Oryzias latipes: one gene and its partner. The protein of the gene in region 1 interacts with the protein of each later gene in a pairwise test. Links are inferred from orthologs where the notes say so. Each region holds a gene or a part of one and is shown on either strand. Other genes may lie near its edges. The genes, in order: zc2hc1a and cytosolic arginine sensor for mTORC1 subunit 1.

Region 1 (10,078 bases):
ACAATTCAATTCAAAGCTGTTAATGTAATCATGGCTCCACACATGCGTGAGAACTAACAAGTATGAATTAATGAGCCAGAAGAGTTTTGTTTATCTATCATTTTTATTGACTCTTAGTAAACGTTTGTGTAATGAATTATAAATACACAAATTAATAATGAAAAAAAATAGTTTTAGTTTCAATAATTGATTTAAATATTGAAAAAAGGATGCAATGATTTAGTCTTGGTAAGGTGTTTGGCACATGGTAGATGAAAAAAGCAAATAACCATTTTTTTGCTTTTCAATCATCCAAAAATGTGTAAAACTAAAAGCTATTTTTGAGGAAAGCCATGTTGTTGTGTAACATGATGCAGTGCCTTCTGTCATGCATGCTGAGGAAATCATTTACATACATCTTCACCAGTTTTAGGAACAAAAATCTTTACAGGCAACAGACAAGCAGCTGTTTATGTAAAATGTCTCACCGCTCTTGCTGATGGTGAGCTGTGCCAGTCTCTGTGACAGGTCCATGGATCCTTGCAGCTTCTCTGTGGGGATTTCATGGATGGCATTTCTGCGGCCAGACCGCCGGGAAGCGATGAAGTCCTCAAAGCTCACTTCGACATCCGTCATCGCTGACACGCCTCAGCATAGCCCTGCCTTTCAAAGACGCTTACTACAAGCTAAAGAGAACATTAACACACAGAAACAAATTGTAAAAAGTAGCTACTCTGAAGCATGCGAGCAACACAACCTGAACATTAGCGGCTACAGGAGGAAAGTGGGCTCCCCATGCTATTGTCCAATGCACCTCCACATCCTCTTATTTTACAACCTAATCCCTCATTAATCTATATTAATCTTATCCAGTGTTGGAATGACTTCAGAGGCACAGAGAGAGAGAGAGGAATTCTCCCAGCAAGTAATTGGGGAGGAAACATTTCGGAGAACCAAAGGGGAAAGAATAACAACAAAAAAAGTTAAAGGGATAATTGTGACACAAAGAGGAAGAGAGCTGCTGTCTTGCGCGGCATGAGTATGGCCATGATCAGCAGTGCAGCTCTGAGATTTAGGTTAAACCCTTCTGTTGACATTTTAGTGCTCCACATCAATCTGCCTGGATGAGGCTGCCCTTCAGCACTGGGCAAGTGCAGACTGGGTTGCCCCATTTACACTAATTAAAATACGTCAATCTGTTTTTTTTCCCACACACTTAAAACTGAAGGTTACGAAACCAAAAATACCTGTAAACAAGATTTTGTTTAATTTATGGAAACGATGAATTCCGGCAGGGAAAAACTTAAAAATGGCTTCAGCTTCCATCATTTTTAATTAGGGCCATGAAATCCATTATTGAGCATGTCTAATTTTGAATGCCTCATTTCTGTCATCTTCAGCACACGCTCCCACTCTGATGCCATTCGTACAAGTGTTTTTTTTTTTAAGATGGACACAAACTATATCATCCCTATTCTACTGACAGACTAAAAGCTGAGATGGATCATTAAAATCTGTTAACCAATGATGATAAATGTCTACAAAAAACTGCATCAATAGCCTGACCTTACCGAAACTCATTTGACAGATAAATTACTGCATGCCTAAATATACATTGTTACATATTGTTTTTTTACTTGTTTTAGTTTAATAAAATATCTACCCAAATTGTAATAAATAAATAAATACAAGAGTACAGCTCTCTGTAAAAAAAACAAAAACTATTACTGTTTTAATAACATTCTATATGCAAGATATCTGTGCACATTTCTAGGCATAAACCCCTTAAATGGAACACATTTTCATTTGAAATCCCACATATTACATGTTTTTTCCCCCCTTATATATTCAGTTTCATATAGACATAAAACCATGCATGTAGCTAACCCTGACTTCAGATAATCTTGTAAATGTGTGATGAGCTCACTATATAGCTGTTCTGAGTTGCTATTTCATTAGTTGTGCAACCAAATTGGAATTATTGATGAGAGTAGCAGATGACCAAAGACTGGATATATTCTAGAGCACCCAAAACTATTGTAGTCCAACTATTTTATGTTTATATTTTATTTTATATGTTTATGCTATGAAAAGAAAAATGCATCATGATTACGTTATGATTTGTTTATTCATGTTAATAGTAATTCAGTTTCTAATTCAATTTGGTTATGTCTAATTTTTTTCCGTTTGGTTTATTTTTTATTTTATTGTCTTTTTTCTTTTTTTCATCACATTTATTTTTGTCTGATTAAAAGAAAAAGCAAAGCAAATTTAAAATTGACATCGGTCTTTGTTCAGCTTACTAACCTTCACCTCAAGAGAAATTATTGCTTTATGAAGAAAAAACGTTAAATAAAATTAATAAAAAAATAATGAATAAAAAAAGGGGGGGGGGGTTATCATAAACATGTTCATTTTACAAACTGTTTGAATAACTGGCTCCTCGAGGCTGAGCTCACATAAATTAACAGCCATTTGTTTCTCTGATGACAAAGACCCCCACAGTGGTAGGTCAGTGCCTGTGAGCACCATCTGCACGATATTATTGTTTAAGTTACACAGATAAATATGTAAATTCTGCATTTTTTTTGTACATCATAACGTTGATCAGGAAAAGTACCTGTTTGGGCGAAATAATCTCCCTATGCTCGCACTGGTCAGTCAGTCCCATCAGATGGAATTCTGCCACTCTGGTATCCCCGTCTGGTTTAGTGGGATCGCCGTTAAGCGAGAGTTGGAAAATTCCACTTCCGGGTATCGTTTTCAAAATAAAACGCTTTTTTCTTTTCAAGTATGATTTATTTTGTTTTTATTTTTTTACTTAGAGACCCCCACAAAACACAAGTAAGGACTATTATTTTATACTATTAGCGTTGTGCTTGTGCAGAAGAGGGATCACAGAGAGGGCAGTCAGCGAGAGAATAGAACGCCTGTCATGAAACCAGCTGCGGGCTTTTAGGACCGGCCTGTCACAAAGCAGATGTCTGTGGATTCATGTGACACATGCTGTCCTTGTGGCAAACATATCTGTGGAGTGTTTGCACTTTATTTTAAGTGTCTCGACAAAAAAGGCTCTTTGTTTAAATGTGGTTGGTCACACGTTTGAAATGTTACCCCCATATGTTTTGTAAACAATGCTATGGAGTCATTTTGACTAATAGATCGCTTAATGTTTAGTTAAACAATGAATGACTTTTGGGATATAATGATGTTACTTAGGTTTTTCTACTTTTTAGCCTAAAAGGAAGACACATTTTGCGTCTCCTTACACACACAAAACGTCAATATTCCCTTAAAAAATGTGCATGTTGTGCTCCACCTGCTGTTCGCATTAGGATACATTCTGCAATAAAACAAAAAAAGATGCGGAAGTTAAAATATTTGAGAGTTGCCATTGGTTGCCAAAGATAAATCGACTCAAGACAGTTCAATACCGAACTCTGCAAACAAATTAGGTTATCGCCTGGGAGTGGAGGTACCATCAACATGACACAAACAGAGGCCTAAACAAATGTCTAAACAAAAACTTCTATTGTAGTAGTTTTTACTGCTGTATAAATTTTAACATTTCTGGAATGTATATTTATCTATCACATTTGTGTGTCTACAAACTAAATCAAACACAATTTATGGACGACTTTCTTTGTTCCGGCGAAACCGGAAGTAATTTGGAGCGATTCCTCTTGTTCCTCCCGGCTACAATTTGCTCGTGGAAATAACAGTAGCATCAAACAAGGGATAACCTAAGGATGGAAGAATTTGAAGGTAATCTCAGTCCAGTGCTTTATTTTAAATGGATTTTTTGGTGCATTCAAACTTGAATCGTCGCAGTTTTAAACCTCGAAGAGGTTGTGTTTTAATGCAAAGCCGTTTCCCATAGGGAGCTCTTTTTTGTTTGGGATTTAGCCAAAGTAATGCTAGGTAACGTTGGAGCTAAAGATGAGGCTAGCTGTCTGGCTGCATGGGTGTGATTCCTTGAGGGAGCGGCTGTCTAATGTTAGCATAAAAAGACATTAACTGGGTGTTAACTGACGAACCTGGTAGGGAAATAAGCTAAATTAAATGTTGTAGATACTCGCAGGGGTGCAATTATGTACTTGTATACGTTTAGAGACATTTTTATGCCAGTTATTTATATTTACATTATTATTATAGCATTATTTTATTTTTGTGATTTTCTGACATATTGTTGTTAGTCTAATATTGCGAAAATTGATCTTAACAACGCACCCCATGCACAGAAATGTATAGAAAATGTAGCCTTAGAAACTTATTTAACACATCATTTACTATTAGTCAGTCAAAATAAGGATTTGATCTATTTCTATCCACATTTGACTGTTTTCCTAAATAATCTTTATTTTTTTCTGCAGATGCTGAAGCTCCTCCTGTGGGTGAACTGGTCCAATGTAATACTTGCAAAAGATGCTTCTTCCCGAAAGTTCTGGTAAAGAAAAACTAATATCATGTCATCTGTGTTGTGCAGTGTACTATCTTTTGCTGTAATGCATCACATATCACTTGTTATTGTTCAAAAGTATCCCCTTGTAATCGCATTGTTTAAATTCATTCCAATACCTGCTGAAATCAAAACAATATGAGGAAGTAGAAATTATTTTTTTAACAAGTATATTGTTTTTGGTGAAAGCCCAGAAAGCTCAATTGGATTATGCTCAGTTTTTATGAGTTTATCGGATAAAATGCAAATACAGCAGCACAATGAGAAACAGACCAATTAGAGAAGTAGAGGCTTGTTTGACTTAAAAAAAAGAACACACACAAAAAAAGAGAGATAAAACCTTCAAAATAAAATCATTTTGATTTGATCTCACTTTTTTTTTTTTACAAGAACAGGACAAAGTGATACTGGCTCTTTAAAAAAAAAAACAGTACAAGAACATAAAAATGAATAGACTTTGTTTTATTTTGACCAAAACTACTGGACAAGTAAAAAGTAAAATATTACATAAAAAGATAAGTAATTACTTAAACTACTGCATTAGCACACACATCAACATTTTATTGTAATAAAAACTCCCAACACTACATCTCAAACACTCCTAAGACTTGTAGAAGTGAGAAAAATACTCATTTGGATATTAGCGAAGGTAAACCCCGTTATTCTACTTGGGGTAATTAAACACATTTAAAATATTTGTTTCTTCTTTTTATTGCAGTATCACTTAAAATTTATTATTTATGGGCATTATAACTGTTTACGGAAGTTCAGTATTGATCTTAGATCCCAAGCATGTTTGTAAGAACATAGCGCTAATATCTAGTCAACTAAAGATTAATATGCAAAAACTTATAAAAGGGGCTTCAGAGCACTTTTCACATTAATTTCAATTATTAATTTTGAGTTTTACAATTCAATTTACAGTAATAATTTGAATGAATACACATTACCGATGCTATAACAAAAATATGGTTTTATGTAAAAGAAAAGCCACAAAAAAATCCTGAGACTTTGATTGGTTGAACTGTTTTTTATGATAAAAGTCAGTCAAATATATAATGATGGTTGACATATGTTGTTGTTTTTGGACCTGCTTTTCCTTTCCAACAGGAAAAACATGCAAAAATCTGCCAAAAGACAGCAACTAAAAGGAGGAAGGTTTTTGATTCCAGTAGACAGAGGGCAGAGGGTACAGACATCCCCGTACTCAAGCCTATCAAACCAAAGGTAAGCGGTCAGCCCGATCAAGTTACGGAAATCCTACCAATGACAGGATTTAGCTTGAAATATCCAGAATTTGATCCCCTTAAATAAAACTGTATCATGTTTTTTCTTTTGCTTAAAAATATCAACTTCCGCAGTGATTTCTATAATTGTGGATGCAACTTTTGGGAGGCCGGTGACCTTCTTTCCATTTCACATCTTTTAAGGTTGATCCTCTTATTTTATTTTTTTAAATTAATTTCAAAGACTTTTTCCTAGTAGAAAATTTCACTAAATAAATGTTTTTTTTTTAAAATAAATATATATATATGTTCTTTTAAGCAGACATTTCTTTTTATTTTTCACACTTTTGACACATTGCTTCTATAAACTTCAAATAGAGCTTCTTTTTATGTTACAAAAATGTATAAAATGTCCAATTAAGACATCTGCTAATCATAATCATATTTTAATATTCTATGTCTTTTAGACAGCATTAAAACATTTTTTCTATAAAGTATTTTTTCAGATTTTTGCCTTTTATCTTTAACAAAAAAACCCAAAAAAAACTCAATGTTTGTTTTTCCAGCCAGAAGCTACAAGAAAATAAAAGTTTTAGCAAACTTGACTGAACAACAGCAATAAATCATCTGTTGGAAGATTCCGAGTAATGATCCTCCTTTTTGTCATCACCTCCTATATGAATATTTGCTGTTCCTGAGTAGCCATACAGTGTTTTATGGTAACAGCACCTTTTTGTAAAATGTACATTATTTCAATTGTATTTCAGTCACAAAGCTCAGCTGGCTGTCAGAAAGTAAGTAGATTTAGTCTATTTTTTTTTCTTCTGCCTGTCATCCACACACTGTACTTTTTTCTTTTTGCCAATATAACAGCTTTCTACTTTCTTTTCTGAAAAACCCGATTCCTCCTTTCAGTTATTATGACACCGCTGTTTGTGACTTTGACAGCTATAAGAAATAAAATCTGAAAAGCAGTATTTTTAAAGACTTCAACTGTGAAGAAGGGATTTGAAAGTCAGCTAAGCTGACCGCTAAGACGGAATATTATAATATAATATATAGGCCTGCACAATATACCGCAAATTTATCGTTATCGCAATATCCAGCTCTGCAATATGCATATCGCAAAAGACGGCGAATATCGCAATAAATCGCAAACCCAAAATGTGTTAAAACAATCTTCTAGCAGCTTGAAGCATTTAACGAATCAAATAAATCCCTTTATGCTTTGACCAATCAGATGGACGCCTTGCCATTGTTGACCAATCAGATGGAGGCCTATTATGTTAACCCTGGTCCTGAAGAGTCTCAACCCTGCCTGTTTTCCAGCTCTCCTTAACCAGCTTGCTGTTGATTGGCTGACTCAATTGATTTCACATCCTGATTGACTGAACACACCTGATTTTGGTTATCATTATCGAGCAGTCTAGGGAGAATTGGAAAACAGACAGGGTTGAGGCTCTTGAGGACCAGGGTTAGCCACCCTGACGTTTGTCCCCCATGTCGATGAGGGTCATTTGGAGTATAATTTTTAAACTGTTGCAATGAAATGGGAATGATGTTTTTGTTTATTTTTCTATTTGTTTATTTACCGAAAATTTATCGTTATCGCAATATTGATCACTAATATCGCATATCGCAAGTTTTCCTCATATCGTGCAGCCCTAATAATATAATATATCTGCTTTATGTAAAACTCAGCTGTCCCCACTGATGGTGGGAGAGTTTAGATCTGTTATAGCTTTCGCTTGGAGGCAAAACCACCTCATTAAGTGCAACAAGCGTCCCGTTTATGGAAATTCCCTCGCGGATATATGAGAGTCTAGTCTTTAGCTTGAAATGTTAGCATTCAATCTGGCACTGGGCCACTCGGGTTGTGTTTAGTCACTGTCAGGGTCGTTGGAGTTGCCGACTGTATGAAAACAGACTTTGTCAGCAGAATCTGCTGTGGCATGTTGTCCTACCAGGCAGAGCCACCGAAGAAGCCGTCCAACTGGCGCAAGAAGCACGAGGACTTCATCGCCACCATTCGGGCTGCCAAGTCACTCACTCAAGTCATGAAAGAGGGGGGGCCCTTACCCCCACCTCCCCCCCCTTCGTATGACCCAGGTAGGAGATGCTTTTGGGGATAGTTTCTAACAATTTTCAATTTCACTTCTCCATTAGAATTAGATATTTTTTCTGCTTGTGCTGCAAACCTTTTAAATGAAATATTTCTTCCTCTCTAGATTACATCCAGTGCCCATACTGTCAGCGGAGGTTCAATGAGAGTGCTGCCGACAGACACATTAAATTCTGTCAGGAACAAGCTGCCCGGATACCCACCAAAGGCAAGTTAGGCGATCCCAAGAAGACGCCGGGTCGCACACAGGTAAAGAATGTGACTGTCTGCAGAAAAACATTGACTTTGGGCTTTTAAAAAAAAAAAAAAAAAGTCTGCACCTGTACTTTACTGAGATCCATCCATTCATCCATCCATCCATCTATCCAATCCCCAATCCAGCTACGGTTGGATGAAGGTCGCCAGTCTGCTTAAGGGCCACACACTAGCCCTGCACAATAAATCGGAAATGTATCGTCGCGATATCAAGCTGTGCAATACGAATATCGGAAAAGACGGCGAAAACAATAAAATAAATACAATTTACGACAATTAATGGTAAATGTGCTAAAACAATCTTATGGCAGGTTGAAGTCTTTCACGAATCAAATATATCAGTTTATGCATTTGACCATTCGGATAGAGCTCTTTTATGTTAGATCTTCATCTCCTATGTAGACGAAGGTCATTAAGAGTATACTTTTTTAAACTCCATCCATCCATCCATCTTCCTCCGCTTATCCGGGACCGGGTCGCGGGGGCAGCAGACTGAGCAGAGATGCCCAGACTTCCCTCACCCCAGCCACTTCCTCCAGCTCCTCTGGGGGGACCCCGAGACGTTCCCAGGCCAGCCGAGAGACGTAGTCTCTCCAGCGTGTCCTGGGTCTTCCCCGGGGCCTCCGCCCAGTGGGACATGCCCGGAACACCTCTCCAGGGAGGCGTCCAGGAGGCATCCGAACTAGATGCCCGAGCCACCTCAACTGGCTCCTTTCGATGTGGAGGAGAAGCGGTTCTACTCCGAGCTCTCCGCGGGTGACCGAGCTTCTCACCCTATGTCTAAGGGAGCGCCCAGCCACCCTGCGGAGGAAGCTCATTTCAGCCGCTTGTATTCGGGACCTCGTTCTTTCGGTCATGACCCATAGCTCATGACCATAGGTGAGTACTGGAACGTAGATCGACCGGTAAATTGAGAGCTTTGCTTTTCGGCTCAGCTCTCTCTTCACCACGACGGACCGATAGAGCGACCGCATAACTACGGACGCTGCTCCGATCCGCCTGTCAATCTCACGCTCCGATCTTCCCTCACTCGTGAACAAGACCCCAAGGTATTTAAACTCCTCCACCTGGGGCAAGGACACCCCACCGACCGAGAGATGGCAAACTACCTTTCTCCGGTCAAGGACCATGGCCTCAGATTTAGCGGTGCTGACCCTCATCCCAGCCGCTTCACACTCGGCCGCAAACCGCCCCAATGCACGCTGGAGGTCCCGGTTCGATGAAGCCAACAGGACAACATCATCTGCAAAAAGCAGAGAGGAAATCCTGTGGTCCCCTAACCAGATCCCTTCCGGCCCCTGGCTGCGCCTAGAAATTCTGTCCATAAAAACTATGAACAGAACCGGTGATAGAGGGCAGCCCTGCCGGAGTCCAACGTGGACCGGGAACAGGTCTGACTTACTGCCGGCTATGCGGACCAAGCTCCTACTCCGGTCATACAGAGACCGGACAGCCCTCAGTAAGGCTCCCCGGACCCCATACTCCCAGAGCACCCCCCACAGGATGCCACGGGGGACGCGGTCGAACGCCTTCTCCAAATCCACAAAACACATATGGACTGGATGGGCGAACTCCCACAAACCCTCCAGCACCCTAGATAGGGTGTAGAGCTGGTCCACTGTTCCACTGTTCCACACAGCTTTTTTAAACTGTTGCAATGAAATGGGAAGGTTGTTTTTGCTATTTGTAGATCGTATATCGCAACTTTTCCTCATATCGTGCAGCCCTACCATACACTCTCGTGCACATTCACACCTCGGGCAGGGCGGTCGGGCCAGGGCCTTCAATGCCAAACATATTATGGTTCCTCCATGCAAAGCATAAATCCAATGATTAGGAACTCTCCAGAGACCCTGAAATTGGAAAGGTCTGCCTGGAAAGACTCATCTAAAATCACTCTTTGATTTACATTGCTGGAATGAAAGGATTCAGCCATTCATTCATCTTCTTCCATTTATTTCCTTTCGGGGTCACGGGGCTGCTGGAGCCTATCCCGGCCACTTGTGGGCGAAGGCAGGGGGCATCCTGGAATGAAAT
Region 2 (4,068 bases), on another chromosome or scaffold:
GCATAACTTTGTTACAGACGATCGCATTTCCTCTCACGGATGCTTTTCAAAGGAATTTAGAAAGATGAAAAATAATCAGTTTCTCTGTAAAACGTTTAAAAATTTTAACAGTTCTGGTTCGTCGCCTGTCCATCCCGGGAGAGGATCCCTCCATGTGGAAATCTCTGAGGTTTCCTCTTTCTTTTTTTTCCCCAGGAATCAGTTTTTCATTACCAAGAAGGAGGGTCTTAGTGCAGGGATGCTCAGTGTAGCGTAGTATATTTATTTTAGTTTAGTCATTGCATATTACATTTCATGACTGATTTCATGTTCTTATAAAGTTACCGGTATAAAGTCTGTTGAGCGACTGTGTTGTGATATTGAGCTATATAAATAAAATTGAATTGAAATCAATTCCATTCTGACCTTTTTAACATAAGAAATAGAAAATTGTGCCAATTTGAAACCATCCTCTTGTGGTCATTTGTGGAACTGCAACCTCTGGATTGTTGCGATATCAAACCCAAAGAATGCAGGCTTAGTTCCGCCTAGGTGACCATTTTCTGACATTTATTGTGGTTAACAAAGTTGGGCTCTAAAGTTGTGTCTGAATTTCCTCACCACCCCCAGTTGGTTCACTATTCTCCGTTTTGTCGGGGTGTCTGACACTATGTCCAAAATCTCACCCTAACCCTTAACTACTAAAAAACTATACAGTGTGGCACTACGTGGTGCCCTGAATTTTAAAAGCAATTCAGACACCATGTCCACTACTTTTTTTTTTTTAAAAAGCGGATATTTCTAGGGCACTCCATTTTAGAATTGTACATTCGGACAGCACTACAAAAAGGCGAACGCACTATATAGTGCACTATATAGGAGTTAGGGTGGGAATTCGGACACAGCCTGAATCTACAATTCCAAAATCCAGTTTTCGGGAACTTTCCCAGAAGTCTCTCGGTGTGTGTCAAACCTCACTAGATTGGCGAATACAGGGCATTGAGTATTAACAAATTTTGGTTTAAAACATCAGATCACATTGGATTCATGAATGATTTTCCTAAAAATGTCATATTTGCCTTTCAAAAAATTGCTTTTAAATGGCTTTTAAAATCCAGGACACTAGATAGTCCCACGCCATGCAGATTTTTAGTTTTTAGGGGGTAGTGATGGAATTCGGTCATAGTCAACTTTGGGCTTTTATTGTGGAAAATTTACCACAGTGACGCTGCAGCTTTAAGACAAGGGGGCGTGTCCCCGTGGCTCCGCCCCCTGGTATTAAACAGACAGTAGTTGAGCGGCGCGTCGGATGTTTGTCGTCTTGTCAAACGGGCGCAGCGGGGCGACGTGTTTACGGTGGTCGGTAATGTTCTTCACCGAGGCCCGCCTCTAACCTGCCGGCCCAGAAGACGTTCCCGCTGCCGGCGCCGCGTGCAGGAACTAAGAGCCGCGCGGACACACACACACACAGAGCCAGCAGCCAGCTGAGCAGGCAGCCCGTCCCCGGGAACATGATGGACCTGCACATTTTAGACCACCGGCTGCGGGTCACCAGCATATCCAAGAGCGGACTGGAGCATTTCACACACCCCCTCATCAAGCTGATATTTCTGCGGAACCGAACACGGTAAGGAGGCTCCGTGTCTGCCGGGGTAATCTGGTGCAGATGTGCGAGCTCCAGAGGCATTTAGGCGGGTTGTTTTGTCAGAGCATGTCCTGCTCCACCTCAGTGAATAATCGAGTGCAGTGAATGAGGGAAGCAACCAAAGAAATGTAACTCCTGCTTTTGACAGTAACATTAAAACAATATGTCTTCCTGCTTTTTTCTTTTTTTTAATTGGATGGGTCTTAGCTCTGTTTTAATGCCCCATCATCTCTCCAGTGCCCTTTGACCTCTTCACTCCAAGCTTGCATGGACTTGATTGGTTCTCCACATCTCATATTAGCATTAGGATCCGGCGTTTCCAATCAGTCCCTGAACATCCCACTACTGTCCTGCAGTTTCCTGCAGCTCAACATCTGTCCTCAGACCAGCTTTCTGCAGCCAAACAAAGCGAGTCCAGCATCTGTCTACCTGCAAGCAGTGGCCTTTGTCACCTGGCATTGAAAAACGAGCAAACATCTGTACTCACTTGTCTCTTGACTGTTGAGAAATGTCCTGCAACAGGTACGCTGTGCCAAGGTGGCGTGCACCACCCTTTACTTTTATTTCTGATCCATCAGTGGAGCTGCAGGGCAGTTGAATCTTCATGAACTCCACTTGTTCATCTGTCGTTTGTCCCGATGGTGTTTTTTTGTCTCTGTTTATAGACTTTAAAACTATTTTCATGTTTTGATCTGTTCTCACTTTGGAGTTTCCTCAACATTTTGCATTTTGCTTTTCAGCGTCTTTTGACGGTTATTTTCTGGTCTCTTTTTTTTTTTTTTAAATCAAAAGTTAAAAAAAAAAAAACAAGTTGCCTGCATTCTAAAGCGTTCATGGAGGAAAACCGAGTTTTTTACTGCCTGGGATGGTTAACGCGTTTGTTATTCTACGAAAAACGCTTCAGTGATGGATGAGGCTTCATCAGCATCCATCACTGAGCTGGAGGTTTAAAGTAGTTCTACTCTACTAAGGCCAGCCAAAACCTTTTCCGTAATTGTTCCATCAGTGGAAGGATTGGAAATAAGGCCTTAGTCTCAAGCACCTGCATGCACAGGTGCTGCAGGTTTTTGAGCTGTCCGGGCCCCTTGGAGGGTCGTAGAAAGAAGGGTGTGTTTTGCAGTTCCCTTTAGGCTCGTTGTGGCCACTTCAAGAGACCTCATGGCAATCGATTGTTCCATTGTCATGAGTGTGGTAATTGTATCATGAAGTTTTCGGCACAATACAAAGTCTTTCCCTGGCCTCAAGGCTTCTTCCAATCCCTACATTTAGCCCTCCAAGCGGAGAGTTCCCACGTGAAGCTGATCACCCTCCCGGCGGAGGGATTCTCAGTCCTAAGTCACTTTAGCTACCCCTTTACAAAAAAAACAAGTTCAGACACCTCTACAGCTCCACATACCCCTACAGATGGAGAGGAATCATTTGGATTTGGCCTTAAGGCTCATGGAAGATGCTGATGACGTACGGTGATGCTGTCGTACGGCGCCCTAACACTAGTTGTTGGTACGGTGCGAGTGCTGGCTCTTTACTGGCCGTGTGCAAATGTGATGCGCGTGGGGTTTTCATGTGGTACATAAGTCCCCATAGGACTCTTTTAGCATGTCCACACAAACAACACTGTCTGATTTCCTGAATCCTAGGAGGCGGGCTGCACAACAGGACCGCACACTTGTCAGAAGGAACAGCACTAGCGGACTCGTTGGGCAGTCTGCAGGATTCGATGCGGGTTGAAAAAAGAAAAATTTGCACGACACGTCTATGTCTCTCCTACTTTACCCTTACTGACCTTCACGCGATGAGTAAGTGTTCACTACAACCTGTCAATCACCGTACAGGTTTGCCCATTTGTCCGCTGCAGATGGCCCGTATCCACCTGTAAGGCCAGTTGTGACTAACTGTTGAGATTTCTTTCATTGTTTGTAGTTTTTTTTTCATTTGAAGCCTTGCATCTTCTCAGCATTTTTGATCCCCCATAATGTCAATGTTTCCTCTTTAGGCCCCTCATGTTCTGAACAAAGCAGAGCTGAGTCAGGAGCTCAGTTGGGAGTTTTCCACTTGTCTGCTTCCATGGCCCTCCGACGTTGGGGAGCTCTCTCCACTTGCATCAGGCAGCTGGAGCCTCATTCTTCATCATCAGCTTTCCCAGCTCTTATCGTGTTTCTTCAGCTGGAACATCAGTTACCCCCCCCCCCCCTGACTGACACCACCTTCAGGAACAGTCCTTCGCCCTCCTGTTGTTTCGTGTAGCTGGATCAAAGTCCAGAGCATTGTGTGTTCAGTTCTCGCTTGGCCTGCCGCTCAATACCTGTTGCTTCCACATCTCTGGTGGTTCCTGCTTCAAGGAAAGAGTTTGTTTTTTTCCCCGTCCCATTACACAACATTTGATCCCGCTGAGGACGGGTTTCTGCAAGCACAACAACAAGAAAAGACAAAGTCTAAAATTAAAA

Evidence for each region.
Region 2: the proteins of zc2hc1a (region 1) and cytosolic arginine sensor for mTORC1 subunit 1 interact in binary tests that used the Homo sapiens proteins (3 or more experiments, as listed by UniProt). The two-hybrid records come from large-scale screens. The link is inferred for Oryzias latipes from reciprocal best matches to the Homo sapiens genes ZC2HC1A and CASTOR1.

The regions. Positions count from the first base shown.
Region 1 is NC_019878.2:13,235,032-13,245,109, forward strand, and holds the start of zc2hc1a (zinc finger C2HC domain-containing protein 1A), read left to right. Parts: upstream 1-3,630; 5' UTR 3,631-3,728; coding exon 3,729-3,744; intron 3,745-4,352; coding exon 4,353-4,426; intron 4,427-5,548; coding exon 5,549-5,665; intron 5,666-6,431; coding exon 6,432-6,458; intron 6,459-7,631; coding exon 7,632-7,773; intron 7,774-7,892; coding exon 7,893-8,035; intron 8,036-10,078.
Region 2 is NC_019867.2:3,181,877-3,185,944, reverse strand, and holds the start of cytosolic arginine sensor for mTORC1 subunit 1, read left to right. Parts: upstream 1-1,268; 5' UTR 1,269-1,490; coding exon 1,491-1,606; intron 1,607-4,068. UniProt on the Homo sapiens protein: Functions as an intracellular arginine sensor within the amino acid-sensing branch of the TORC1 signaling pathway. As a homodimer or a heterodimer with CASTOR2, binds and inhibits the GATOR subcomplex GATOR2 and thereby mTORC1.